Lepisosteus oculatus: one gene and its partner. The protein of the gene in region 1 purifies or fractionates together with the protein of each later gene. This does not show direct contact. Links are inferred from orthologs where the notes say so. Each region holds a gene or a part of one and is shown on either strand. Other genes may lie near its edges.

What was found.
Region 2: the proteins of l3mbtl1 (region 1) and anapc1 purify together in Homo sapiens (affinity purification with mass spectrometry; 4 studies listed by BioGRID and IntAct, counting the BioPlex papers as one, with this or other methods). This does not show direct contact. The link is inferred for Lepisosteus oculatus from reciprocal best matches to the Homo sapiens genes L3MBTL1 and ANAPC1.

The regions. Positions count from the first base shown.
Region 1 is NC_090711.1:14,080,388-14,095,765, reverse strand, and holds the start of l3mbtl1 (lethal(3)malignant brain tumor-like protein 1), read right to left. Parts: upstream 7,595-15,378; 5' UTR 6,932-7,594; coding exon 6,888-6,931; intron 6,510-6,887; exon of another isoform or gene 6,308-6,509; intron 5,184-6,307; coding exon 5,014-5,183; intron 2,625-5,013; coding exon 2,434-2,624; intron 1,169-2,433; coding exon 1,042-1,168; intron 722-1,041; coding exon 559-721; intron 1-558. Other genes in the region: serine/arginine-rich splicing factor 6, read right to left, coding at 8,434-8,875, 8,979-9,056, 9,381-9,583, 9,900-10,018, 11,850-12,004, 12,763-12,869. UniProt on the Homo sapiens protein: Polycomb group (PcG) protein that specifically recognizes and binds mono- and dimethyllysine residues on target proteins, thereby acting as a 'reader' of a network of post-translational modifications.
Region 2 is NC_090712.1:2,589,770-2,605,138, reverse strand, and holds the start of anapc1 (anaphase-promoting complex subunit 1), read right to left. Parts: upstream 6,999-15,369; 5' UTR 6,762-6,998; intron 5,853-6,761; 5' UTR 5,829-5,852; coding exon 5,616-5,828; intron 5,010-5,615; coding exon 4,848-5,009; intron 4,578-4,847; coding exon 4,535-4,577; intron 4,174-4,534; coding exon 4,073-4,173; intron 701-4,072; coding exon 618-700; intron 1-617. UniProt on the Homo sapiens protein: Component of the anaphase promoting complex/cyclosome (APC/C), a cell cycle-regulated E3 ubiquitin ligase that controls progression through mitosis and the G1 phase of the cell cycle.

The DNA of each region.
Region 1 (15,378 bases):
ACTGTGTGGGCACTACAGGGACGGTCAGGGCTGATGTAGCACGTGCCTGTTCAGTGAACAGTTAGAACTAAAAAAAAGGTGAAGGTTTTTGTGGAATCTGTTCAGAGGAGACCATCCAGGTATCTTTCTAGACATGAAGGAATGTCCTACATGGAAATCCATGTCAAACAGGAGCTGCGTTTTTCCATAAAGGGTTGTAGGTGTATGAAACAAGCTACCCAGCCATGATGTGGAAGCCGATATCTTGGCTTCTTTCAATAAACAGCTGGATCAGATCCTCAGATTAATTAGCTACCAAATGGCCTAGGAAGGACAGATGGCTTCCTCCTTTTTGTAATCTTTCTTATTTTCTTAAAAGGTCAACACAGGAGCAACTAAATGCCCATTATAACACGGCTGCAAATCTTTCTCTCAAAGAATGTTTTGAACAGGGGGTAAGCTTGTTTAGCTTTAGCTGTCACGGTGAATTGACACCAGTGCAATGTCAGCTGTATGAAAGGTCATTCTAACACAATCCTGCCTGTCTCGCAGGCTGTCCGTCTGCTCTCAGGCTCTTACTTGTCTGTGATTGGCTCCCTGCGCAGCTGCTCTGTGAAGCCCCTTTCTGCTGCTGGGCTGCGGCCTTCATAGCTCCCAGAGCCCCCTTCCGGCAGCGGCTCCTCTTTAATGGTCTGTTCCGGTTCCTGTGGACAGCCAGTGGCAGGACTGTGGGAGATACCATCTGGAGAACAGGGGGGAAACCGTCAGGCACCTCAGGACACGTTTCACTTCAAATGTTACCTATCACCAGGAGTTATTTACAAATTACAGTCATACACGGCAAAGTTATTGGGATAATTCCATCTGATTCTCTACCAATAAATACAAGTTAATATTTCAATTATATTTGTGTTTTACGCAACAAGAGGATAAAGTGTTCAAAACAAGCTTTTTGACCTGCACCAACCTGAATGGGTCAGCAGCAGAAAAATATAAAAAGAAATACTGCAATGTCTTCTTTTTGTCAATAGAGGAGTCTGCACAGAAACCTGCTCCCTTCACCTGGTTTAAGGGCTGACTTCCCGTCTGTCTCCATCTCCTTCCCAGCAGCCCCTTCTGCACTGGGATCAACGAATGGCACCTTCCTGTCACTGACGACTTCCAGCGTGCCAAAGTCATTCATCCGGAACTGCGGGACACACCACCCCCTTTTCAGTACACGTGTAAGTACGCGATGAAAATATTCCAGGACACCTATTAATAGACCGACTGGGAAGTAGAACCACTCACTGAGCATCTTCAAGAGAAATGGAGGAAATGAAAAAATGAAAAGTGAACGCAGCTAAGAACGTTTCCAAGAAAGGACCTTAAAACTGAAAAGGAGCACAAGCTCTGAACATCAAGCGTTCACCACCAGTGTTTCTGCAAGACATGATGATTTCAAGGGTCAATGTTCTGAAATCTGGGACATTTAACTAGACATTCACTCATTCTGCACCTCTGGTTTAGTTCCACAAATCAACAGCTATTACAGCTATTTTACCAATATAACCTGCTTAGGCTAAGTATACAGGATTTAAGTCAGCTAGAGGAACTGTGGATCAAAACCTGGAGGACAATTTAGGGCAGCCAATCAGTCCTACCCTCCAGATTTTGAGAGGTGAGAAAAACCGGAGCACAGCACTGGAGGCAAACAAAGAGAGAACATCCAAACTCCACATTTAAGGTACTCCAGTCCAGAATCAAACCCAGGACCAGAGTGCTGTGAGGCAGTAGCGCTAACCACCATACGTCCCTTAGGACGAATTAAAGAAGCAGACAATACCATACCTGAGGCATTACAGTATATCTTCCCAATCTGGTCCTTGTGAGGCCAGTGCCTGGTTTTCAATCCAACTGAGCTCTCATTTACTTAACTGAAACCTTCACTGAAACCTAATTAGATGTTTGCTCGTAATTTTCTTTTTCTGCTAAAACCAGTTGATTGCTATTATTCTTCATAAGAAAGAATACAATAGTTCTTAAAAAGCAATTTAAGATTAGGAAACACAAAGTAATCCCTATCATTCACTAATCGAAATATTTTCTCAATTAAGGGTTTGATTAAGTCATCAAGAGCTCAACTGCAATGAAAACCTGCAGACACAGGGCTCACCAGAATTAGGGCTGATAAACCCCGTGTTACAGTCAGTCACATGTTCTGTCTTTCCAATTAGAAGTTTCCAACGGAGAAGTAAAGGTATGAGGTATGAGCACATCAATCACAACAGGGGATGCAGCTCCATCCTCATATCAAACACCTGACATTCCAATTTCAAAAGCTCAAATCCACAAATATTTCCCAGATTACACATTGCAAGAGGCCACCATTTTGGCCGAGAGCTAACTGGCAACAGAGGAGATCCAAGGAGTGCGGCGACCCAGGAGACGACAAGGCGGGAAGTCCCAGAATACCTTGAGGTTGGTGCCAGGGAGCACGGCCACGCCTTCCTTCCACTCCAGCACGTGGACCACGCTGCAGGCTCCGCCCACCTGCGGGGTCAGCGCGGAGGTCACCGGCTCTCCAGCCCCGCCCCCCTTCAGGGGCTCCATGTGGCCCCTGGGCCCCTCCCCATTGCGCACGCCCACGAGAGTGGAGCTGGGGGCTGGGAAAGAGACAGCAGGCTGGAGGAGCACTGGGCTGGGGGGGCCGCGTGCCCTCCAACACAGGGCACGCTGGAGCCTTTCACCCACGCGCGCCGAACTGACTCCTGCCCTCAACGGACAAACAGCCCCCAATCGGTTTTCAGAAACAGAACCTTCATTTTTCAAGCTACTAACTCTGATTAGCAACAGATTCTGAAAGCCCGATTAAGGTTTCTTCCTGTTTTCTGAAGAATTCTGCTGATCAGTGCAACCCATAACTACAAATTAAGTTTCCTATCAGTCCCTGTCTATAAATGAGCCACTGCTCATATAAATGAAAGAACCTGTGGCCTTTTCTTTGTCCATCATGAATGTTTCTGAATGGCCGATACAACAATATTTCAAACCTGTTACTGACTCACACACTGGCTACTTCCAGTTTGCGTGTGGTGCGAAAGGGACTAGTCAAGACAGCTGTCTCTCCGGGCCTATGTTTCTAAGTTCTCTTAATGGAGTTTTGCGTTTAATGCCATTACTGAAGGGTGTGATGAAATAAAACTGGTTTTGCTTTTCAACCATCCACAGGCAGTAGAGGTCAATAGCAGAGGTCTGTTCATTCCTATTCCTCTGTTCACAGATGTTATCACTGTGTTGAAATGTCCTGCCTCTGATACAGCAGTGTGGTGCAGTGGTTAGGGGTGTTGAATTTGGACCTACATGGCTCCGGGTTCAAATTCCACAGGAAACGCTGCTGTTCTACACTTGAGAAGGCTACATCACCTAAATTAATTCAGTGAAACACCCAGTTATGCAAATGTGAGTCACCGCAGTCAAATAAATGAATCACTACAAAATGAAATAAATCAGAAATAATATCACATGGTTCAGAATGCCATGCAACTCGAGTGCTGACACTTTAGTAAACAAGTCCAGAAACCAATGTTAAGCTTAATTTCTCTGAAAAACCTGGAGAAACTAAGGAAGACATTTGTGATGCTGTCGTGAGACTTCATGAGCTTTCTGGACATTTCATCAAGCTATTAGTGCAGAATCTTAAATCGCTAATAACACAATGACTAAATACCGCTTAGCGAAAAGGATAAAGTCAGCATCTAAGGATCTGAGTCTATAGTGGCTGATCGGTCTCAACCTGCTTGTCATCAGGTGGAGCAGTGGCTCTGTGGCTATGGATCTGCACCTGTGGCTGGATGGTTGCTGGTTCAAATCCTGTGGCTGGCAGAGGAATCCTACTCTGTTGGGCACCTGAGCAAGGCCCTTCACCCCAACTACTCCAGGGGTGCTGTACAATGGCTGACACTGCGCTCTGACCCCAAGCTTCTCTCCCTGTCTGTGTGTCTCATGGAGAGCAAGCTGGAGTCTGCAAAAAGATGAATTCCTAATGCAAGAAATTGTATATGGCCAATAAAGTGATCTTATCTTATTATTAATCGAGCTTATAAATCCAGCTTTCATTCTCCTGCATTTTGACTGTGGGCTCGTTAGTGCCCAGGAAATGTGCGTCGCATTAGCAGTGTAATGAGAGCCTTGTGTGTGAATGGCTGTGCTTGAAACTTCGAGAGCCATTCCTGGGGCACTGTGTGTCAGAAGCACAAGAGAGATCTAGTCAAGAAAAGGCCACAACGGAACAGAAGAATCACATCACAATTGTGTGAAGATGAACAGCGGCATAAATACATGAAACAGAGCACTACCTTTCTGATCTCAGTATGTTCACCGAGTTTATAACTTCATACTTAAGCAAGTATGTAACCAAGCTAACACAGTACTTGCTTAACTGGGCAAATTTGACATATTCTATTTTTGCAGCTTTTACAAATTTAAAGAAATTTATGCTGTGATTCCAGAAGAACTATGTGGCTAACTTAGATGTACCCACCATCCTCAGATCAGTACGCCTATAAGCAACCAAAATAAGCAACAAAGATCTCCTGTGACAAAGAGCAGAGCTTTTCAATCAACGTCTCCGTCACACAGCACACAGTGTTTGCATAAAGACAGTTCAGGAGCGATCAGCAAGTTTTTTTCCGAATCCATGGGTTTTTCAAGAATACAGAGTACAAAGCAAAGCTCACTATTTTTTTTTAAAATTAAAGTCTATTTTGCTGTCATTTGACAATGTTGCTATTGCGATGCAGACATCCTGGGCTAGTGTGACCTCTAGGTCAACATTTCCATAGTTTTCATGGATATAATTGGAAGAAATCAGATAATTTTCTGCTGTCCTTACGGCATCTCAGAGCTGATATTTTCTTTGCTTGGGCTGTGATGGATGCAAAGGGAAGTCAGGGATCACTTAGTTCTTATGTCTTGCAACGAATAAGCTGCAGAGCATTAATACTGCACCAGCCCCTGTGCTGCACAGGACTGTGCCGCTGGGAGTGACCTCACCTGGCAAAATGAAAGCAGTGGTCTGGGCCTGGGGGCGTGTCTTCTGCACTGAGATCTCATTGGCCGGGAGGGGGGCGTTGCCTTCAGTGGAGGGGTTGTCTCCGCCCACCACCAGCACCTCAAGACCCACTTTCCTGCTCATCTCCTCGGGGACTGGTGCCACCGTCTGGCTGTGATGAGAGGCAGGTATGGGTCAGTGCCTACAGCGGTGTCCCAGAGACACCCGGGTAGCCCTTGTGATGACGATCCAGACTGATTTCACCCAAACCAGCGCCTCATCATTAGAAAAGCCTCATAAATTAGGCAACAGATGTTGCAGATTTTGAAAGAAATTACAATATTCCCAACAGTTTCTTGAGTGACGTAACTTTCTTTCCACAGGTTTCATGCAGTGAATGGAGAATTTACCCTATTATATACAGAAGTATTCTTATTTTATTATAAATCAGATAAGATTTCATTCAGGTACCCAAATGCACGTAGTCTGGGATGTCTTTAACAGGGGACTCTACTTCTGCTACAGGGAAGTGCAGTTAAATCTGAGAACAAGATGCACTACTTTACACAAAGGGCTGTGGGAGTCTGGAACAAGCTTCCCACCCATATTGTCAAAGCTGATACCCTGCTTTCTATAAAGAAACGGGGGAGACCCTGGGATCAATTAACTACTAACTACACTACAGACTAGCCGAGTCGAATGGCCTCCTTTGTTATCTCTTCGGCTAGTTACAAGTAACCCGGAGAGCAACACACTTGGCATTCCCCGGATCGTTTAATCGTAGCGTTCATAAAGCGATTGTTTGAGCGAATTACACTGCTAGACACAGGAATGCAGTCAGCTGTGATCTGATTTTGGAAGTTGTATGTGCTGCAACCTGAAACGCCATTTAGATCAAACGCATCTTTCACGTTCAAAACCTCTAGCGGAGAGGCGGCGGTCTCTCCCCCTGACATTATTACCCAGACGGCGTGAAGTACTGCGGAAACTCGTGGGCTTTTCTATTTCATAAACATATTACCATTACCGGTACCGGTGGCGGTTTGCATTCGGTCCTGACAAAGATTTATCCGTAACATCTTTCTGAACCATGTGAGGCAAAACACTGGCTACACGTTACGGGGCGAAATATTTAGAGGCGCAGAGCTGTTTCTCCAGCACTGTTAAATAGTATATACTATATACCGTCTTTGCGCCAGGGTACCTGCAGTACGCTAGACACCAGGAGCGCTGAACCTTGAAAGCAGTATTAAAAACAATACAACCATTTTTTTACACTTAGTCCACAGCACCGACCTCGTCTGCGACTGTGAGCTCCTTCATCTCAGTCCCTTATTTCACAAAGAAACCAGTTTGTCATAGAGAGTAGCCGTCTGCTTTCTTCCCCCAATTACAGGACCATTATTAAAATGTGAAACCCTAGCAATTTATAGCAAAATGGCGGCATGATTTAACTCTTTCAAGAATCTTGTGCGATGTAGGATTCGACATGCAGCTTTTCATCAAAGTGCAAGGCGTTGAATGTTTCATCTACTGCTGACAATATTTAATTTAACGTTATGCAACAGCAGAGTGGAACCCCATTTCCCCCCTAGATTTACTAGACAAAAGAGAAACCGAAAACTACCCCAAATACCACAACTGAGGTTGTCAAAAAAACCACAGCTTAATCAATATGGGTTTATTATAATAAGATGACTATACATTAAAAATGAAACATGCTTAATGAAATGTAAGAAAACTAAGAACCTTCTCAACACCTTAAGATAATGCTTATGACTACAGTTAATCTAGAACACCCCATGCTATTATTCCGTTTCGAGATGTAGAAATAATAAATCGGCACAATGTGTGTGAATGAACCGATCGGTCTTACCAGCGGTTGGTTCTCCTTGCGGCTCCGGGCGCAGCACTGCGCATGCGCGAGCCGCGCACCGGGCATGCACACAGGACTGCAGCGGCTTCACAGCCCAGCCGCGCCGCTAACACTCACCGCGCTGGGTATGCGTTTTAATTCACACTCGACAACTGTCCGTCAAACTCCGCACTTTATTGGAAATGTTTTTGTTGGCACAATCACAGCCCCTAAGAGCGGGTTTTTTTCTCCCGTATTCCCGCGACGTCTTCACTCATCTCTTCTCGCCCTCCTGGGTTTCCCCACAGCGTCCGGCTGATCGAGATGAACAGGCAGGGGCCGCTTGAAGTACAAGCCCGGCCTTTCCTGCATACATCGCAACACCGTCTTCTCACATGCACCTCTTAAGGGAGACTACAGACGCAGCCCCCGCCGCAAAATAACGCTTCCAGCTTGTTTCTCCAGCTCTGTCTGCAACACTCCGCTTCATTGCTTTGGTGTGGAGTTGACCGATTCCTAAACCCACGGAGGCCACAATGTCTGAATTGCGCGCAACATGAGGTGCCCTTGATGTTTACTCTTAAATTCAAGAGCCAATTAGCACAAGCAACTTCAGTTTCCACAGTTTTAATGAAAACTGGTGGTTTATTGACCTAGGGCAAATCTGCACACAGACCCCCCACTTTTTATCTGGGCTCAGAGGTGTTGCAGGCACTATACCATGAAGCAATTTCACAGCACCCAGTTCCCTTACACAAAACGAGCCACAGTCATTAACTACCCTGTTTCTCAGCAGTTGAACACCTAAAAAGAAAACAAACTTCACATTTTTCCATAAGAACCTTTAATAACTGTACAGTAAAAAGTTCACATGCTTATTTATGGATTACACTTTAGCAATAAAAAGTGCAACTCATCATGAAATACACATCCAGGTAAAGTCCTTACCACTGGCCAATTTTCCAAAGCTGGTCTCAAAAGATCCAAATGTTTGAACATGTCAATTTGACTGCTGTGGCAACAAAGGTGGAGCCAAATTGTCAACATTATACCAAGGCAAGGGACTCAAAAGAAATCAAAATCACTGCGGTAAAACAAGCCACAGGATATTCTGAACTTTTGGGGGGAAGCAAAAATTGCCTTTTAAAATGCAGATACAACCTAGGTGTTGTGGATGCACAGGGACACCCAATACTGACTCAAACCAGGACTGCAGGGGCGATCAAAAAGTGAAATAAAAAAAAGGTCAAGCAAGCCAGGCATACACAAAACTATGACTGTGACACCGATGTCTCCTAGAAAAATATTAAACAAATCAAAGAGTTCATCAGGTATTCAACTCTTGGCACCCCATATCCTGGCTCACATATGGTCTCAGGCCAAACGTACAAAAATCTGAGTTATCATTAGAAACTGCAGCTATTATCTCAAGCACATGAAGGAGAAAAAAAAAAATTAAGACCACCGACCAAATCTTCAGCGCTCAGAGCTGCGTTTGATCAGCTTAAACCAATTACAAAATCACCCCCTCCTCCGAAATGGCGCGGCCGCCCCCGCGACCGGGCCGCTAGTCCCGCGAGCCGGACCGGGAGCGGGACTTGGAGCGCGACGGGGACCGGGAGGGGGAGCGCTTGGACGGAGACTTGGAGCGGCGGCTGTCTGCTTGGGGGGAGGGGGAGGGGGAGGCCGACTTGGCCCGCTCCCCCTTGCCGTTCTCCACGGGGGAGGGGGAGCGGCTGCGCGACTTCTTGCCCACGGACTTCTCCTTGGAGCGGCTGCGGGAGTCGCGGTCGGACTTGGCCTTGGAGCGGCTCTTGGAGCGCGACTTGCGGGTGGCGGACCGGGAGCGCGACTTCCTGCTGGCCGAGCGGCTGCGGGACTTCCTCGTGCGGGACCGGGACCGGGACTTCCTGGTGCGGGAGCGGGAGCGGGACTTGTGCGCCGGGGACTTGGAGCGGGACTTGCGCGCCGACCTGGAGCGGGACCGCCGCTTGCTCCTGGAGCGGGACCTACAAGGGAGACGAGCCCGAGGTGAGAGGGGTGCGGCGTGTCGAGTGCTCGGAGGAGCCATGCTCTGAAGGGTGCGCGAATCTAGAAGGGAGGCTACTTTACCGGGAGCGGGACCTGGAGTTGCTGCGCGAGCGGCTGCTCCTGCGGCTCCTGCTGCGGGACCGGCGCCGACTGCGGGACCTGCCCAGACAGAAGGGTGTGGCGGTCAACAACCATGAGAACAAGCATTCATCAACTGCAGCCGCGAGAGGACACCGCCAGGAGAGGCACCATTACAACACACGGACACAGCAGGTGAACGGGCACAAAGCAGGCCTTTCCAGTCAAAAGGTATGGTTAACTACTGCATGTCTGAGCAACTTAATGCTCAACGCCTGATAACCGGGTAGGAACTCTGGGTAAGAAACAAGGGCACCCAAGACAGACATTAACTGGACCGCCACCGACTGCACACCGCGGCCATCGGAGGAACCGTCCAGAACCACCACACTGAATATACCGCACCTGGACCGGCTGCCAGAATAGGAACGCCGGCGCCTTGGCCTGTCCTCCACCAGGCGGATCTTCCTTCCGTTGATGTCCGTGCCGTCCAGCTTCTCCAGAGCCCTTCTCATATCGGAGTAGGAGCGGAACTCGATCACGCCCTCGTTGGTGCGCTCCTTATGGGCGTCTGCATACGTCACCTCTCCAGCCTGCCGCATGAAATCCTGCGAAGAGCATGAGGGACAAGCGTCTTGGTGATCTGAAAACACAACTACACAGAACCATTAAATAATGAAGGCACGTTTCAATGGCCTCTTTCTATCAAACCAGACTAAACTAGGAAATCCAACAAAAGCTCCACCACCACAGTAGCAAAATTACCTTTATTTAAACAGGGGTATGTTTATTCTATTACTGTTACTAAAATGTTAAACCACAACATTAACCTGTCAAGACTGTGAGCAAGCCACTGCAAGGGGAGCTACAACGAACACTATGGCTTCGACCCCCTAACCAGCCGGTAAAAGACCCTGAACTCACCTTAAGGTCTTGCCAGCTGCAGCGACTGGAAAGGTTCTCCACAATCAAGCGGTACTCAGTGCGGACAGGAGGCCCATACTTGTCTCTGCCGGAGCGGCTTCTGCTGTAACCACTACTACCTTCAAACAACAGGGGAAGACAAAGTCAGCAGTGCATCATGGAGAGCTGGCAACTTCTCCATAGGGAGTTAAAGGGGAAAAAACAGCCACTAGCGGGATATCAACTACGCATGATAAAGATTTTTGGCTCTAGTCCACCAAAATAGTTCCTGTGGACTCCGCTTTCTCATGCACAGATAATACCCACAGAAACAACCTGTTCCATCTTAACTCTGGGACAAGAAAATGGTGTTCAGGCAGCCTTGGCAGGTGTGGCTTTCTATATCTTCAGTCAAATGCCAACCTGTGTACTGTACAAATGTTACTGTACAAATACTAGGAAGTGTTTACATTGCTGTTCTCTGTGCACCGGCCAAAGAACAGTAATGCACTTAAAACGGTGCCAAAAGCTTAAAGGACTTATGCAACCAGTTCATTGCCATTCACTGGGTAATGAACCCACAAAAAGATAATATCACAGGATTTAAGTCACTTACTCAGGTTACTCGGCTCTCCAAACCACGAATGCATTTTACAGGTAGGCATTAACCCACTCGCTTGCTGTCAGGATGTCTTAACAACAAGGTGAGACTACTGGCAATGATTATAAAGCTTAACCACTGCCATACTAAGGTTGAGCCAATCAGACTCACAGCAACTGAAGCCAACTGCTCTTTTACAAAGCAGGATAACAGATGGCGGTAACATCTTGCGTTGGCTTTAACCGCTCCACTATTTGTTTGAACATAAAAACCAATGGGATTCCTCACCATCACCCTGGTCTATTGGCAAAAGGCTGCTGTCATCATGGCTTCCGGTTAGGTCAGCCAAAGGGTCAAAGGGCAAAGGTCACACACACATTGTAAGGTGAAAGCCAAGGCCAAACGGGACAGGCAGTCATCTTAGCCTCAATGGACTCGGACTCAGCCTCAGCCCGCACTGGACTCTTTCAAATTGAAACATCAAGGACTTTGTTAATGTTGAATTCAATAGTAAACAATGCAACACATTTTTAGGTTATTTACATGGCAGCTGGGCTTTGCACTCCTTCACACTTTGCTACGAAAAATTAGGAATTCTGGGTTAAGCTTCACTTTGCTACCTAGCCCAATCCCCACTGAGCTGCATATACAAATGCCCTGAAACAATAAGTCCACAACACACAAAGGCAGCTATCCTCCACTACTCTAAACCACCTAAATAAGGCCAAATTAACACACAGCTGCCATATAAATAGACCTATCCTAACATACTTCTCCCCCCACTATTAAACAATCTGAGCTTTAGCTTGAGGGGCCTTCCACTGCAGGACTGCAAACCCTTCCATGGCTTCCGACATCCTGGAAAGAGAGGTCCCTACACAGGACCTATGCCACTTGACCAACGCATGCCTATCCAGCTGAAGTGAACTTCAGACGGCAGTGCAGCAACATGTTCAAGTCCTCCCTCACAACGCAGGTACCCCTTCTTGAGCCTGTAACCCCTCCAGTATTACCCTAGAATGGGATTAAAACTTGTTGGTTTGAATAATGCAAACGTCATTTAAGAAGTCACCCTCTTCAACACACGAAATCCACAAAACTACACAGGAATTTGCAGTTAAACTCATTTGGTGTATTGCAATCTGAAAAGCTTGGCAAAAGTCAGAGGATACTTTTAGCTTCCCAAAACAAATCTAGCATTCAGATGTTACAAAGCAATACACGGTCAAAGCATGAAATTCAGTTTCCCTAGCCCACTGCTCAAGCAACGTGTGTAAGATAGCTTAATGTAAACTGGCAGCACATATCCAGGAATCTGCAAAAAGTCAAAGATGCTCAGATTATTTGATTTGGCAGTAGACGGCACTTACTGCGTCCGCCATAACCCCCACCGTATCCATCTCTGTCCCTTCGTGGTCCTCGGGCGTGCTCCACGATCACCCGCTCCCCGCACAGCTCCTTCCCGTTCAGCTCGTACACGGCGTCGTCCGCGTCGCGGGTGTCCTCGAACTCCACGAAGCCGTATCTGCAGGGGGTGGAAACGCGTCACGTTTGTCGGATCAATGCACGGCGCGGAGGTGAACACGAAATCAACATGACCTCCCTCCACATCGTGATGCGCGTTAACATGAGCAGAATCTCACACACACCCCCCCCCCCACCAGACCACAGCCACCCCCAAACTTAACCAAAACACGATTGGCGTTAGAGCAAACGTGCCCTGGCCCAAACCTGTGCTCCTCTTCACGTTTAAACAAAGGACTTGCGCCCGCAGCGATGCAACTTCCATTTGAACGCATCGATCCTCTGCCGTAATACCAGTCAGGACGGGCCTGCCGCGGGCTGCCCGCGCCCCCTCCGCGGCCTACATCCTCCCTTGCCCGCTCTTTGTCCGCACTCTCCGAAAACGCCGGGCCTGCGGACCAGCAGCGCGTCACGCGTGGCCGGGTCGCCTCCTCCCGGCGCGGCGTGTCCAGGCTCGGGGAAGGCGCGGGCCTGCGAGCACTCGCGCTTGGCTCCCGCCGAGAGCCGCGTCCCTCCAGCCCCTCACGGTCCTTGTCTCCAGCGCGGCCGCCATTTTGTCCACGCGGCAATCTCTCACCGGGCGGCTGTTTTTTTCCTCTTACGGTAGCTAAGCAACGAATTCGCAGTACGGGATTCCCACACTGCGAAGCCTCATAATCCGGTCCAGCCGTGAAACGGCGCTCGTTTTTCCACAGCGCAGTAAACACAAACTACGCATCAACAGTCGGCGCACGCACCCTACCCCCACCTCTCCCTTACCCGTTCTTCAGGTCGATCTCCAACAGCTTCCCGTAGCCGCTAAAGAACCTCTGGATGTCCTTCTCACGGACATGGTAGCTCAGCCGGCCAATATACACACGGGGCATGTCTTCGAAATGCTTCGTCTTCCTCTTCTGACGAAAGAAAGCGCCCTTCTCTAACCTTTATACAACAACAGCCACCGTCCAACCTCCCTGCTGGCGCATGAAGGAACCTCGCAACGCTCACGCTCGGTACTTATACTGGCGCCTACGTCACCCTACGCGCTACGCTACACGCCACGAGGACACGGGAGAGCGCATGCGCCCCCGGCTGGCTGTGAAGTTAGGTTGCAGACACAGTTGTTTTTAGCGCATAGGTTTTGACAGGTTGCGTGCAGAAATCAATCAGGGAAAATACAAGTTTAATTCTATATGCTGTGCATACTGCTCCATCATTATGGTAGACCGTGTGTATTTCTCAAGTTACTCGTAGCAGCAGGCCTGCGTCCGTAGGTTTAATTGTTCTTTCGAACCCAAAGTTTTATGAACTCTAAAGTAATTGAAAAGAAGAGAGAACTGGAGTTGTGTTGCACCTAATAATCGTGCAGTTGGAACAGTTCATGAGATGAAGTTTTCTTATTGATAAGATAGTAATATGCTTCTTTCGACTTTAGTAAGAATGGAAAACTGGCAGCACAGTAAACGTTATATCATTTTATTAATAGAAGATCTCCGATGGTCATTTTTCACTTTTGTTCGAAAAGTGAAATTAAGTTTCTAACCTGTCCGTGCCGTGATACATATGTGGCGACGGGCAAATAATGGAATAGTACGATATTTCAAATTCAAAGTTTGAGTTGTTTTTCCACATAAATATAAACAGCAAAAACATATTTATACCTTGGGACTAAATATACAACAGATATTAACAACAACAATAACAACAATAATAATGGGCTGTAACATTTAACACGAATACATTACAGGGCAACAAGAAACTGAATCGGATTTCAGTCTGAGAAAGGTCGATTCTTTCACCTCGAGTTATCGAGCGTTATCGACCGTTTTGGTGCACTTTCAACAGCGACTTAAAAACCACTAGGTGGCAGTGGGGGAACAACACATTTACTATTTTAGAGCAGGTTTTCAAAACGTTCTGATTGGCCGGTGACTCCCTTTTAAGAAATGCTGAGGAACAGTTAAGAGGTTTATTCCGTGCTGAGAAGAAACGGCCCACTCGTGGAAAAAGCTCCGTAGCCGAAACATTGTGTCTCTTTCGTTTTCCTTTCAGCATGGCATAAACCTTTACCTGTTTCTTTGCATCGGTTTCTTGCACGGTTTCATGTCGAATGAAAAACTGTATACAAATATTGTACGCATTTGGTCACCGTCTTTCACGAAAGGTATTGCTTCTTGGAACGAGTCTAGGGAAGAGTCCTGTGTTTAGGGGAATGGTCCACACTCACAGGCTAAAGGAATTGGATTTTTTTAAGTTTTGAACAGAAAATACTTTAACTTCAGTTCAGAATCCTCCAGGGAAAAAAGCAAACCCAGTGGACATCTTTGGAACCATTAATGTGACATGAACCAGGGCCCAAAGAAGGGACATACTGGTTTATGTCTCATTGGGGGACAGTGCATATTGAACTAATATTTTGAGATTTTTACACAAAGGGTGGTGGGAGTGTGGAACAAGCTGCCCAGCCATGTTATTGCAGCTGATATCCTGTTCCTTCACAAAACAGCTGGATGAGACTCCCAGATCAGTCAGTTGCTATCTACATAACAGGCTAGGAGCACTGAAAAGGCGCCTCTCTCATGTGTTTTCTTGTGTGCTTTAATTCAAACAGATAATGAAATTAAAGTCTGCAGTGATAGTGATTACAACATTACTAAGGTTTCATCACAGTCTTTAAGAGCCCTGGCGGATCCCAGGTTTCAAGGTTAATAGCTGCTTGCTGGCTTAGAGCCCAGTGTCACTGGGGATCGAGAGCAGTCCTGTTACTAGCCCTGTACAAGAGCTGTGATAGCTGAAAGGTTCAAGATTTAAGAAGACTGGGTTTCCTTTACGAAATCAGTAACTCAGTAAAATATAATCAAAATGCTTTTTCTGAACTGTTTTTGAAGGTTGTGGAGGAAATGCAATATCACAGACAATATTGTTGTGAAATGTTGTGTTTCTTTTCTTCTCTTTCCAGCATGGAATAAACCTGTACTTGCTCCTTTGTAGCCCAGCTACCTGCTTGAACTAGTGTGAATATATGTGTTGGAATCTCTGTGGTCTGTTTTTTTCAATTCAACTTTATGTGTCATTATACTTACACAGGTGCATAGTATAGTGAAAAGTGTTTGTCCTTAGTCACTCAGGTGCAGTATATAAATAGAACAGAAGATAAGATAATAGACAGTCACACAATAACAGTGTAATAACATAACAGTGTAATCAAAACTGTGAAAATACGCAAACAGAGAAAGAATACAACAGGACAAAGACAGTGCAAAAGTAATTTGGGGAACAGTGCAAAAATAGTACGGTGATTAATAAATATTACAACTAATACAGTTTTAAGTACAATTTCGGCTTACATTCAGTTGTCGTGTACGTAGTGGTGTTGGAGTACAGTCATTTTTCAGT
Region 2 (15,369 bases), on another chromosome or scaffold:
TCTCCAGGGTAATTATGAAAACTCTAACAATACTCTACTCACTTTCACATACAGAAGAAAGATCTAAAAACTGCACAATAATATTCAACATTAACACACAGAAGCCCCACGTTAAAAATAAAACATAGCATGCATGTCTCCGATATCATTTCATTGTTTTCTTTGCAAACCATTTGTCAATCAGGGATTTTAGTTCATAAGACTGGGAGATAATACATTTTCTAATTTAGCCATTAAACCACAATGGTGAACTCTTCATTAAATTTGCTTTGGTGAAAACATGTTTAGAGTGACAGTCAATACCACACACTTTGGATGGATCCACTAGCTAACAGCTTCTCCTAACTCGCTTTTTGAAGATCAAAATCTTAATGACTAAATAGCAGGATAATGTGAGCTGCTTCATCTAATACTAATAAGGAGGATAATTATTTTGTCCTGATTAGAAACACAGATGCGAATATCAATTATCAATTTAAAGTAAGGGGGAATAAGAGATGGACATAAAGGAATATTCTACCTTTCATAGAGGTCAACCTATAGCAGTCATTTATTGCGAAAACCTATTGCATCCAAGAGTAAAATGAAAATGCACAACTTAAAGTAAATATTATTACCTTGGAGGACTCTGTGGGAAATCAGAAGTAGGATTTTTACGTTCAAACAGCAAGCCAAACTTGGTCGGCCACACAGCTGATACCTTAGAGAAAAACAGAAAAATATCCCCACTGTTTTTCAGCTTGATCTATGTGGATTGTGATTAGAAAAAAATGTTGAAGCCCTAATACAATCACTCTAAATGCTATCCAGGGTCAAACATGAGATGATGCCACAAGTTTTCTAAATACTGAAGTGTTTCGGATTTGAACACTCCAACATCATATAAACATAATCTTAATATTATATAGTGTCTTCCAAAATTATTGGTACAATACTGTAAAAACTGATTTCCAGTCAAGCAATTTGAATTTGCAATTATGGGGTAAATAGATTAATTTGAATAAGTAAAAGGTAATGTGCTTCATTTTCGGGTAATTTCAAGCATACATTTGAAGTGACCATACGTACTGGGACACATTCAGTTATGCCAATTTCATATATTAGGTTACATCTCTCGTAGAGGTTATAACAAGAGGTAACAACGATGCATGAAGTCTGCAAATTAATGAGCTCAACACGCACTGTGTGCAATCGCCTGCCTATTCTTGGGGTGTCTTAACTTGCAGCTTGTCAAAATCACTCCGTGTTGAATTCACGTCTCAAGATGACTCATCTACTGATTCACTGCTTTTCTGCCGCCACCATCAATGGCTCCATTATAGGCAATGAGAAGTGAGAGAGTTGCAGAGCTGGCCCTGCATGCCAAGGCCATGCTGATGTTCAGATGTGCAAAGATGAGCCAGTAGAGTTTTAGAGCAAACATTCTAAGTCCAGTTGAGACAAAGATCAACCTCTACCAAAGTAATGGATAGGCGAAACAAAGGAACTGCAGATGCTCCAAAGAACACCAAACATGAAACAGGCCGGATGTGACGTCATGCACAGCTGCCTCAGGATCTGTCAGAATGGGGGGTTCTGACAGAATCTTCAGCACTAAAGTCACAAAATTAGGAGGCAAGCAATTGGCACAACAGGAAAAACCCATCCGAGTTAACAAAACACTGACTGGGTGACTGATGGAGGATCTCAATATTTTCAATTTTAGGTCAAAGGAAAATTCTCATCATGTCAGGTTATAGAGATCTGAGGAATAAACAGCATCTTGTCAAGATTCTTCAGCTTCACACCACCACCAGCTGTGTTTCTAATGGGTTGGGCCAGGTATATCAATAAGGAGTCCAGTGCAGTAGGGCTGTGCATTGTCTTTAAAGATCAGCTGACACGAATGCAAACCTGTGGGCACAAGCTCTTTCTGCAGCAAAAGAAAACATGCATGGCAGGTTTTCACTGGAGTGAGCAGTAACTGTAATTCAATAAGAAGGTGTAAAAAATAGAGACTTTCCTCAAGAAAATCATTTTCGCAGAGACCATTTTCCTTTCTAGCAAGTAAATAAACTCAGGTAACCTCCTTAACTAGTCAACGCTTTCACATCTTTAGTTACAGATTTAAAAGGACTCTCTGGGCCCTATTAGATACCAAGTTTTGATACAAGGCAGGGCTGAATTGGAGGCCTAAATGTTCTAATTATTTTATTTGTTAAACAGATTTTACACTTTCCTGTCCAATATTGTTTGCTCAAAATGATTTTGTTGTGTTGTAAATGAAATCAAGCTCAGATGACTAAACAATAAAATTGAAATCTCTTCATCCTTTTTAAATATATCCAGCTGAGCTAATAATTAAAACGAATCCAGCTCACTGAGACCTTAATTTGGAACCAAAACTGGAAGACCATCCAGCCCCCCTTAGGACTGAAGTGTAATCCCCCTGGGCACTCAGTACATACAGGATGGCTAAGCCTAACACAATATTATTCTGCTTGTGTGCCATATTTGTCATCTATTTTAGTGTATTAGGATTTGTTAAGGGAGCATCACTCATAGTGCCTGTGGTCTGATCTAACTGATTTAGCAATTTTGTCATAGATCAGTAATCTCTGACAAAACACTACAAGGCGGTGTGTAAATTAATCGTGCTTAACTTTACGTAACAGTCAACAATGAAATAAACACCACACTGATCATGGGCTGTTTTGGAGGGAAATTTTATTTTGTGTGTACTAAAAATAAACTGATATTGATTCTATCACGGTTGTGAAAGACGGATCATATACTGTATTAAACAAGTGTATTAAAGAAGTGATCAATGCACCTTTGTGGTGCAAGAGTGTGTGAACATCCTGACACTGAGGATGCACGTTTCATTCATTTTTTCACTGCCATTTACAATACTTCACTGAATGACTAGTGTTGTGTTCACAACTAGCAGAAGAAAGGGAATCCTTATGTAAATGTTAAGGGATTTTTTATACAGTAAGACAGTTTCTGGTATGATAGGAAAAAGTCTGAGATCACAGAGACTGAGGTTCAGCACATTCTGCAAGATGGAGGTGAAACTCCAAGCTCTTAGTTTCATTTACTTTCTGCACAATTCATTCTCAAGTTTCAGCACCTGCATTACAACAATATTACAGACTGACTGAGACGCTTTTTGTATTCGTTTCCAACTGGGTTGCAAATAGATTAGATCACCACCTTTTTCCATTCATTTAATTTCTCACGTCTGATTCTAAGTGGTAGCAACTTCTGCAAAAGTCTAACAGTTTACAGGAGAAGAATATACTCATGGCATCATGCATGTAGTTTTCCATATTTTTTCCTTGCTCAGTTTTCAGAAGTCCTTTTGGATGCTCTTTTCGCAGGCACACTTATTCAGTGCCCCACGCAAGCAACAACCATAATTTGCCTCATAATCTGTTCAACTATAAATCTAGTATTTTCAGCAGTTCCTAAAGAGCTCGAGATTTCAGACATGCAAGTTAACTTGAAATCAACCGTTTGTGGAACTAAAAATGTCCAATCAATTAAATTAATAGATCAATAAAGGTTTTGGAGCTCCAACTATTGTAAATGATCAAATGCTGCACAACAGAACATCTCGGTGATTACGCCAGCACGCGATACCGATCTCCTACACGAGGCATATGCAACTTGGGATTTTCCATTCCAGGCCATTTCAGGAACAATAGTTAATCCTGAATTACTTAATTCACCCTAGTGCCAAAGATCCCTATAATTATTGAGAAAGAGTTATAGAAAACACTGCAATGGAGTGAAACGGAATAGCTAAAGCAGTCTATCCTGGCCTCAGACCACAGCTGTCCCAGCTCTCGCCCAGTTCACCCTGCTTGATTGTATGATAATTCAAATACTCCGCTGTGGAAAACCTAAATTAATGCAGGTGCACAAAATTACCTGAATCAGCCACACAATTAGTTGAGTGGCCTCTCTGCAATAATAATGGTTCATATGATTTCACAATAAATGCACCTGTTGCTCTAAGCACAGATCAGAAGAAATCTATAAAAAATGTAAAAAACAGATATCCTTTTGCCAAAGAACTGTGACTCACCTGGAAGGGCAAAGGGGAGATGAAGTCTTTCCCAGTAATACTGTGAACATTCACACACGTCCTCTGAACAACGCAAACAGTTTGCTCCACGACTTCTTGTTCTGAAAGCAAAATTTATTTATGCATCATCTAGTCTCTTGGCCAGGAGTGCGATTTTGTCCGATTCTTCATTGCACCTACCAAATCTTTTCGGCTGCCACAAAAGGCAACCTTTTCAATAGGCTGAGCTGCATAAGCCTAGATGCCTGGATGACACAGATTAATATTTCATACATGTCATACCCTTATAATTAAACAAAGGATTTCATCTGCTCATCTGGGATATTAATCCGCAGTCATATCTGAAGCCTGATACTGTGCTGCATGTTTACAACCAACAAACACAATGAAAGCTGATACACCGACGTAAAGACCCAGGGTTTTAATGTCTAAACTATAAATGAAAAAAAAAAGCAAAATTACCTTCTCTATCTTCCTCGGGTACACCAAAATTACACCACAAGGCCTGAAATAAACCATTAAACAATTTCAAATTCCATGTACCTCGATAAGCACAAACATAATACACTTTCATAACCAGTTCAAAGAGCTTTAGCCATGTCACAAAAGGATCACCGAGAGCAGTTTGAAAATAATGACTTAATGAGACTGCACGAAAAACAGGAGAAAAACTCTATTCTGGGGCTGAATGATGTATTTGATTTTCTTTACCCACGGGAGTAAAGTAGAGGCTTAAGAACAATAGGAGGGAGTGGATTTCCTTTGTCATGTGTACCTGTAGGACAGGACTGTCCACGGTGAAAGCCTTGTATACATACGAAGCCTGATTCTTGCTCCCCCGGCTCCATATCACCATGTTCCCAGCCGCATACAGCTCCTCTTCAAACTCCACCCCATGGACCTCTCCACCAGCTCCCTTCCTCAGCTGCCAGCTCTCCTGAGCACAACAGAAAGGGAATGATCCATAGCCCATTCTTCACAGGTATGATGATGACTGGCATTCCAGGAACCGCCAACAATTTCACAAAATACACCCATAACGATGAAAACTTTGACTAAATCCACCACAGCTGTATTTGAGCCATGAAAGTTTGCAAGTTTAATTTTAACAGGCATCTCTTCCTCCACACCATCTTACTAGTATTAGTGATACTGATTATTGATATAATGTAGCTCAATTAGAGTCTTTTGTCCTGGGATGTTTATGTTATCAATAAAGCATATTGTATCCATCTGAATAAATCAAGTGTTACAGTTAACATGCCATGACGCAGCACAAGCTGCCACAATTAAATGCTCGTTATCAAGCCAAAAGTAAGAACCTGACCAAAATGGCTTTTCACGACAATGTTAGAGAAACACCCACATGCATCACCTGAAATCGACAGGGGATACCTGGAAATAAACTTCCAGCAAAGCAATGTGGGGAACAGAATCAGGGAGTGGGGGAAAAAAAAGAGTTGAAAATGAGAGAACACACAAAATGCAGCAGGACAGAAATAAATCCGAAAGGGGGCGAGTAAAAGGAAATTCGAGACATTACCCTCTCCTTTTCCTGCAGCGTTACCTCCCGAAGAGACCCCACCAGCCCGGCTGCCCCATCGGAGCACCACAGCTCGGAGGCCGGCTGAAGCTGTCGCAGCTGCAGGTTCACGGCGTTGGGGTGATTCTTACAGTGCTCGCGACCGAACGGAACAAACTCCTGCAATTCACCTGCGGCTATCATTGTGGCTCTCTCTTCATAGACGTTCGACATGAGTTCCAGATATCAGCATTATTTCTGCAGGGGAAGCCAACAGGTAAACATGATCTGGATAAAAGCCAGCCGTTTCCCCCACCCCCCAGGATATAAAACATATCTGAAAGAAAATTACCCCAAAAAAGCTGCAGGAACTGGAAAATGAGCAGAAAGCAAAAACAACATAATCTGACAAAAGATGTAATTTGCTTATAGCGTTTTATTTGTAGGTGTTTGTTCATGTTTGTGGCCCATACTGTTCTGTTTAAGAGTTAGGTTTTACAAAGTGAGAAAACACTCTGCACTTTAAACAGCTGACAAGAAAAAGCAACTCCTCCTTTCCGTCAGAGAGAACCTGGGGTAGGGATGAACTTACTGAGGTCATGTCTATCTTGGAAGAGCTTTCCAGAAAAACAATCAATGCTTTCTACATTTGGTTAAAGCAAACGAGCGATTTCTAGGAGTTTGTTGTCCGATTTCTTAATTAAAAAAGAGTGAAGCACTCTGAGTATAGCGCACTGCTCAAAATTGTGAAAGGCATAAACAATGATATCAACAACAACATGGTCAGCGCAGTGATGTAGAAGTGACCCGCAGTAACAGCGGCTGGATGCATGTGTTGTTCCATCCTACTATTCCAGCAACTTCCCAGACTACATATTTTAGGAGCCAGATAGTGGAAGAAAGATAATAAACGAGGGCTACGGATAAGTGACAGCAGCAATATTTTAGAACACGGGAACACGTGGGCATGTCGTAGCACGTTACTAGTCAACATTTCATCTAGATTCACAATCTAAGCAGTGTTAATTAAGCAAGACTAGTTTAAGCAAAACAAGAAAAGCACGCACTTTGCCTTAATGTTGAGGGCAAAACGTCATTCTCGGAAACAGCTGAACGTTGGATAGCTATTAAACTGTGCCAGGAAATAAACAAGGGATACGGACAAACCTGTTAGTAACGAATCGTCTACCGCCGGATCTCGGAGTCCCTTGATGTATTTACGTTCAATATAAGAGGATGACAGTTTTTGACAAACTGAAACAAAACAAACACTGAATTCCGTGGGGAAAAAAGACCAGACGTAAAAAACTAAGAATAACAACACAGGGATTCAAATGGACGCGGCCATCTTGATATCCCGTGAGCCTCCGCCATATCGCTCTGACCAATCAGAAGGCACAGAAAAATCAACAGCGCGGACGGGCGTCAGCCGAGCCGAATATTCCTCCTACAGTATGTAGACAACACAGGGAAGTAATTTCATGCAGGGATGGGTTTGTCTGTCTGAGAAGCGTAATTGGAGATGATATATGTTTGACTTTGCTTGCAATATTTCATAGTTTTGCGGCGTTTCTAGAGACTTTCATAAGAAACCCGCTTAACTGTGGAATCCAAAAACACCACAGCTTTACAAACCATGCAATAAGGGATATCGATCTCGTGAGAAAGCATCAACATCATTCGAAATATCCCTTCTCGACAATGACTTCCCAATTAAACAAAGCGCAACTTACTGGTCAATAAATGTCCTGTGAGGATTGTCAGAGCAAATACAGTGATAAACTAGTGATTTAACTTACAGCTAGTTCGGAAGTGGAAAGTGTTCCTTAGTATATGAACTATTATTTGCCTCAGTATTATTCACATCCTCAGCATTCACTCACTTTTCAGTTAAATAATGTGTCACATGTTTTTGTCTAAAGCAACTTTGGCAGACATTGCCATGGTAAACTTATTATTAGGGTTGTTAGATTCAAAAGCACATACATGTAGTACAAATACAGTTTATCTGCATTGTTGTACTTGTAGTAATTACTGTATCGCTTCCTAATACAAATTTTAATTGGCCATATTTATTTCTTTGCCAACAATAGACTAGATAATTATTTTCTTGCAAGACTTGTTTATGTATCAATGAATCAAGGCACTGACACAGTAGAGATGGAAAACCTTGTTTTCGATAAGACGGAATGCAAGCTTAAAACGCATGAAGTAATTATATAACGTACCACATGCAGTATGCAGTTGCTAGATGGATAGAATTGCCAAGCTAATCCACATGAGCACACTGTTGCACATGAGAATTTAAAGTCATCAGTGCTATTGAGGACAACCCTGCTTCAGTCCTTGAAAGAGGAGGGAGAGAGAGGGAAGGTCTTAAGCCCTATCCTGAAGGCACACTCTCCTGCTGGTCCCTGCCAAGCTTAATTACTTAACTGAAGACTATGTTGAACTAACAAATTGCTCGATTGGACCATAGCCATGTGTTATACTCATGCAATCAATTAGTACTGCTACATATGAAATCCATATGAATAGTATGGATTCATATGAATCCATATTCTACATATGAATAGTTAAAAAGCAGTTCCAACATGATATGCAGAAGCATATCATGTTGGAACCAGTCTGAAACCAGTCAAATAGCTCAAATGAATGCCATTATGATATCAATTGTGTAACTGAGAGCTTGGTTGGAACAAAAAATCAATATGGACCTTCATGACCAGGATTAAACATTCCTGTTCTTTGTCACCCTTAAAAAGAATCAATCTGTAAAGACATGTGTTTTGAACAATTTAGTAAGTGGAATATTGTCATGTTTTATTGCCGTGAAACGTTTAAAAAGAAAAGGGGTATTTATGCACACCAAATGGATCTTCACCCTCCCCTGTACAGAATGTGTTTGTACCTTGTTTAAGATTTTTGTGTTTGTATGTTGTAATAAAGATGAATCATCTAATTGTTACCTTTGAATCTCTCTACGTAGACTTGGAATATTCATCACAAGAGAACAATTTCAAGTTGCTGTGTAAAGATTGCAGAATTTACTCTATAGCAACCCAAATGTCGTTGCATTTAAAAGACGTATGTGGAATAATGAGCAATAATGTGTTCATTAAAAGACGTATGTGCAATAATAAAGCATCTTGACATTTGACGTGTTTCTCAGCTCCTTGCTGCCATCTAGGGAGGAAGGCGAATGTCACTTTAGGGTCGGAAAGCTGGAGGAAGACCCCATGATTAGGGTGGAAGAAGAATACTGGTTCTGGTCTGGATTGCCTTGCAGTTAGAACCAGAACTTTCAGTCAGGAATGGCAGACACTGTTAAAATTAGCATGAGTGAAAAGTTTTATATTGGCCTGTATCAACTAATAGCAACTGTATTTGTAATGCCATACCACCACTGTTTAAGGAAAATAATTATCCTGAATTACAAAGGTAATGAGTCAATTTATGTGTTTCCTATCCCACGCTGTTTGTTTTAACTCACCAAAAGGTCCCACCACTGCAGGGTTCTGACACTGCTGACATGAGGGAAAATCTGGTCCCTGTTTTCCAGAGCTCATTAAACAAGTCATCACTGTCACGACCGTGTTGGATGAACTGTGGTGAGTCAGACACATATTAAATCTGATAATGGGTCGTCTACAGCTCTGGTTGAGAGTCTAAACCAGCAACCTCCCTGCTCTCACCGCCAAGCCTTGCTAATGTCATGGTGGTGTGGGGGAGAGGGGCTGTGATGTCTGAACCTCAGACACAGCAGCTCATTGGTCCCAGAGCTCATCGATGACTGAGAGCAGGTGACAAACACCAGTCCACTGCAGGGACCTCTCCTTAGCAATGTTGGTCTCCCCCGAACAGCTGGGTGGCCAGGAACAACTGGGGTACGGTGCCTCATTCAAGGTACACCAGCACCAGGACTCGATACCACAACCTGGCAGTCAGGGGTCCAAAGACCCACTATGCTACACTGCCCAACGTAATTGAAGTCAGCCAAAACAAACATATAGATTGAGGACGATAGTTCTCTTGTTTTTAAATTTTGGCAGTCAGATCAAGTGCATTTCAGGAAAGACAAGAAATAAGTTTGGAAGCACTTTTTAATATTTACAACCCTAACAGTGATATGACAATAATAAATGTCTCCCCCATGTTCAAATAATGAACAGATTTGTGTGCTAAATATGTAAATATGTAATATCTAAAAGCATTACAATTTATTCAAAAATTAAGACTTTGAGGAATCGAAAATGTTTCTAGTTTTCACTACACTAAAGTTTTACACTTTCTCTTATTTTGCTGCAAGCAAGGGGGCTCACAAAGCTAATTGTAAAATGCTGAAATATTTTGTTTTTCGCTCAAAAATAGCCGAAACATGCTTGAGGGAATTTAAGTGGTAGACTCAGTTTGGAAAGGAAAATGAGGAGTGTTTTTTGCACTAACGCGAGTTAGTTCTGTGAAGTCTAACCTTAAGAAAAAGTCCCAGGAATCAACAGAACGGTTCTTTACACGCTGGTGAAAGTATGTTGTTAAGATAAATCAGGTAAAAAAAACTACGCACGTTTTGTGAAACGTTGGATGAAGGAGCCATACATGGAATACCTCCGAGAAAAAATAATAGGTACCGTTGTACATACAAATTTTGCAAATGCAAAATACTGAAACGGAAGGCGAGGGGTAAGCTATCACTAATTCTACATTTTGCACGCATCGTTAATGTATAATCCCTTGGTCTAGAATAATTAAGTGTGAAAGCAAGCATACCGGTATGTTAAAGGACTACATTGTTCTAGTTCTAAATTTGCACTGGTTATATTATATAAAATGCTCGTTTCCTTTTTGCTGGGCTGTGTCGTCGATTGGAAATTCAGAACTTCTCTTCTTTATCTGACTTCATTACTGATGGCCTTTAGCAACGGACATGAAAAATGATTCTCTGAATCCAGAGTCACACAGACCGCCACTCTCCTCCGCTCTTGAGACGTTGGTTTTAGAGAAGGACACAAAGTGAATTAAAGTTTAGTTAACCCAGCGCACAGTCTTCTTCCAATATGGTCAGTCAAAAGCAACGGAAAATATCAGTGACATGTGAAAATTAAGATGTCTCATTAACGTCAAATAAGATGATATTCATCACGCCAGCGACTCCGTTCTTAACCGACAATAATGATTTGATACTGTTACCCGGCTGCACGAAATCTGTTAATTAGGTTTCAGGATATAGAAAAAAATAGCGCATTCAAAACTGAAAGAGGTAAGCACATGACAGATTGAGGTGGAATCATGTATACAGTCTATATACAGTTCTTGCCGATTAATTACACCAAGCCGTACGGAACATGCAGCATTTGCGTTAAGGCTTTCCAGCTGGTTATAGGAAGCCCAATAATAAATGCCTCTGTCAGATAATCGTAGCCAAACCCAACAAGAGGCCGAGAAGAAAACGGCAACAGGGCAAGAAAATGTCATCTGAAATAAAAAAAAAAACCTGGAACGTGATCGCCCATGTCTAAATGCTTTCCGTAACCTTCAAAATTCAGATCCCCCGAGTCCCTGCCAGGAAGGGGTTGGACTTTCGGGGGGCTGTTTTATTGCAGTTGGAAAGTGATTTAATCTGGTTTCCTTGTAACGTTTGAAATCCCAAAGCAGAAGCTAGTATTTGCAACCTGCAGGTTTGCTTCCACATAATATGCAAGGCAAATCATATCCTCTACCTGTACTCTTAGCAAAGGTGTAGCCTGTGAAGATAACATCGTAAAAGTCTTTGGTGCCATATAACTGTATTTTATTTTACGTGCCCTAGATGCATTAATACCTTTCGTTGGAGTATATTTTCATGAATATTTATGAGGATTTAATAACTCAGAACAAGGGATTTTTCCAGGCATATCTGCGGTGTGTATTTTGGCTTCTACAGCTTTCAATGACCTTTAATAAAACAAAAACCTTTGATAGCAGATTCGTATTGCGGCGTTTTGATACTGGAGGGTTTATCTTGAATATAATCATTTTTGTGTATACCGACATGTGTTTATGCATTTATATCTATCTTTGATTTCACAAGGCAATAGAAATCAGGAGTCCACGGGTATAAACGTGCTGGATCAATGGAAATGGAATAAGGACAGGGGGGTTTCAGCTTCGTACCGTCAACGAGGCTGTGCAGTCTTCCAATATTCGTGAGAATCCCAAGGTAGACCACAATGAAATAAAAGTCAGATTTCAGAACGCTTATTTGGTCTTATTATTTTTCTATAATACAATTCCACCTTGCACATCTGTCAGGCACTTCAGCAGTTTGTTTTTAATACTCCCTTTTATTCCATTATTACTTCATGTTTTCTGTGCTGCAAATGTAGGCTGTGGCAACACTATACGTGCCTATTTGCACGTTTATTGGGTCTTCTCAGTCCAGGACAAATCAGGACAAGATAACACCAACAACTTAGAACACACAGCTTCTGGGACAAATATTAAAGTCATATTTTCTTAAACTGTGCTGCTTACCAAGAAGAAAAAAAAATAAATATGGATGGATAAAGTGTCTTTTCCTATTTGTGAAGTGCTTTGGAGAGTTCTGTACTAACCAAACATCCAAGAATCAGATTCTTTGGAAATATGTATTGAGTAATTAAGTATAATAAGTTTTGGCTTAACCAACTTGGTTAAGAGGTAGCATCCTGGCCAAAGGACAAGGAGACTAACCCCCCCACCTCCACCCCATTCAGAGAGGGGAGTTAATTAAGGGGCAGTAGCAAAGGTGGAAATGTGGTTGGGGTGGGATGAATGCACCAAAATGCGAGAAGCGCCACGTGAGAGAGGAATTTATATAATAAGTCGATAATTCCACTGGGTGAGATTGGGATTGTCTGTCGTTATCCCTCACGAACTGCTGCTAAGAACTTCCATTTCATGAGGAATAATGTCATCCAAGGTGCTTTGTGAATGTGTATTGAATATTTAAGTGTCATAGATTTTTGGCTTTACCCAGAGGAGGCTTGATCCCCCAAAAGCCAAACTAGTGGACCCCAAAACCACCAATGGAGAAGAAGAGACAGAAGGAACAGCCAGGCGCAGTAAAATAGGAAATGCAAACATTAAAAAGAAAAGATGGACGTTGAAAGCTGTCGGATGCCTGCCGGTTGAGCTGGAGGGAGATGGTATCAAGAGGAGCAGGGGCCACGAGGGAGAAACCCGGGGGTCACTCAAACCCCAAAAGAATCAAGCGATCCCCAAAACAGACAGAAGGAACATGGCGGTACAGAGTTTACATTAAAAGAGAAGGCAGCCATTAAAACATCTGGGATGCCTGTTGAAGGAGCCAGAGGTAGGACGCTGGACAGACCCTGGGCCTGAGCAGCAGGGGCTGAGAGGGGGCTGCCTGAGGCCAGAGTGGGACACCAGGGATTGTATAAACTGTAGGACGCCTGCTGGCTGAGCCACAGGTAGGACATCTTACAGGCCAGGGCCCAAGGAGATGGCATCAAGGGCAGGAGGGGCTGGGAAGGAGATAACCAAAGCCAAGCTGAATACCAGAGAATAGAAACAAAAGAAAGTGCAGAGGAGCGGCTCAAGATTAAATTAAAGAACACGAAGGAAGAAGGCTTGTGGCTTGAACTTCTGAGGAGCACGGACCGTGTAGAGATGAATAACGTATGAGCCAAATGTAAGACAAGTAGCATATGTTTTCTTTTGTTCTGTCTTATTGTTATTTTCCTGCTTGTTGGCTGAAGCACAGTCCACATATAGAATGAATCTGACAAAAATGCAAGAAGAGGTGTGCGCAAGGGTTATTTTCTGTGTATAGTGAAAAGTCGGTAATGATTGGGATCAGCTCGATGAGACTGGCTTGTCTATTGTTATTCCTCCCAAATGTCAGTTAAGACCTTTCATTCAATTAAAATAAAAAACAATGTTATCAGCTACTTTTAATTGGTGCAGTTATACAAAGTACAAACAGTGACCTGTGCATCAGTATCTACTGCGGCGAAGAACCTTCATACTAAGTGACTCTTACACAACACTGAGCTATTGTTACAGAATCCACAACAGAACATTTATCCTATTATTTGCTTTATCATATTCACAGAGCTGCACTGGTAAATGCAGAGTTGAGACTGCTGGGCAGTAAATTCCAGGAGCCTTTCTTCCCCACTCATGAGTAAGTCTTTGAAGTCACGTTTCAATGGACAAGTGCTTTCAGAAAATTCATCAGATGCTTTGGACATAGTTGGACTTTTGTGGGTACCTAAAATACAAAGAATACAGCAACATCTACAAACTGAAATATCCACCATTGCCTCAGGTGGAAATGGAATGACTGTTGCTTGCAACATTGCAGAGACTGCAGACAAGAAGAAGGCCTTTTATTTGGTTTGCTTATTGGGTAGTTTAGTGACCACGTGAATCTAGAACTTCATCTAACTGTTTCTTGAAGGACATCAGACCTTGACACTAACCACCTGGCCCGTATGCCTCTTCTCTACTGAGTGTGAAATAGTCTCTTTCAATCTAATTTAAATCTTCCATGATCAGTGAAAAGATTTAAATGTATATGAAAGTCCACTGAGACTTGGAATAATTTTTGCTGTTTTTCTTTAAACTTCTTCTGATGCTCTAAACAGACTGTTTTTTTAACAGTCTGGTGACCAAATCTGAACACACTATTCTAATTAAGGCCTCACTGGTGTACTGTAAAGCATGATCATAACTTTCACTGTTTTTAAATTCAAAGTTTTGCTTTCCTATTGCTTCGACCCCATTCTCTTCACGGATGGCTCAGTGGCGCTGTAGATAGCTTTGCAATGCTAGGGCCCTGGGTGCAATTCCCGGAGTGCTGTGTGCGTGGAGTTTGTATGTTCATGTGGGTTTCCTGCAGGTGCAGTGGTTTCCTCCCACAATCCAAATACCGGTAGGGTAATTGCCTTCTGGGAAAATTGGCCCTGGTGTGAGTGTGACTGTGCACCCCATGATGGACTGAATCCTTTGTGATCCCTGTATTGGATAACGTAGTTAGAAAAGGGATGGATGGACGGACATCCTCTTAATGAGGTGATAGATGAATATTATCCATTATGGTATTGATATGGCTTTAACATTATCCAGACCCCCTCATCCATAGATTTCTGTTACTCAGAATCATCCATGTGATATGTAGAATGCATGTTTCTATGTGGATTGCTTTGCATTTACTAATTTAAAATATCATTTGCCAAATTCCTGTCCAATTCTAGTAAGCTAGACAAGACCTTCCCTTTCCTCATAAGTCCTCATATGTTTCAAAACTCTTCATAATATTTTTATATTTGGGACGAAATCGAACTCCTTGTATCGACAGGAACTCCTCGTATTGAAAGTTTCTCAAGACTCTTCCATCTTACTCCAATGTTTGAAGGTCAAAGCACGCATTTATAAAGGATGTCGCAGGATGTCATGTGGTTCAGGAATCTAGCCTGTTTGGGGCAGCGTCTCTCTTTTATAATATAGTTTTTTCATCCTGACACATCTCAACAGATGTGGCCAAAGATGTTAACAAGCTCTAGACGGCCAGCGAATCCTTTAAGAATTTAATAATACCTCTTAAATGCCCTATTTATCTTGTTAGTATTGAAGGAAATGCAAAATACAATTTTATTAGCATCCCAGAAGAAATTATATAATTTCATTGACTCTGATGACCTGTAGTCTCAGGAGATATGCATGCCGGGCTTTTGCTCCCATTATAATTCCACGTCTTCTCTTGGGTCTTGGCATCAGCTTTGGAATCTAATGA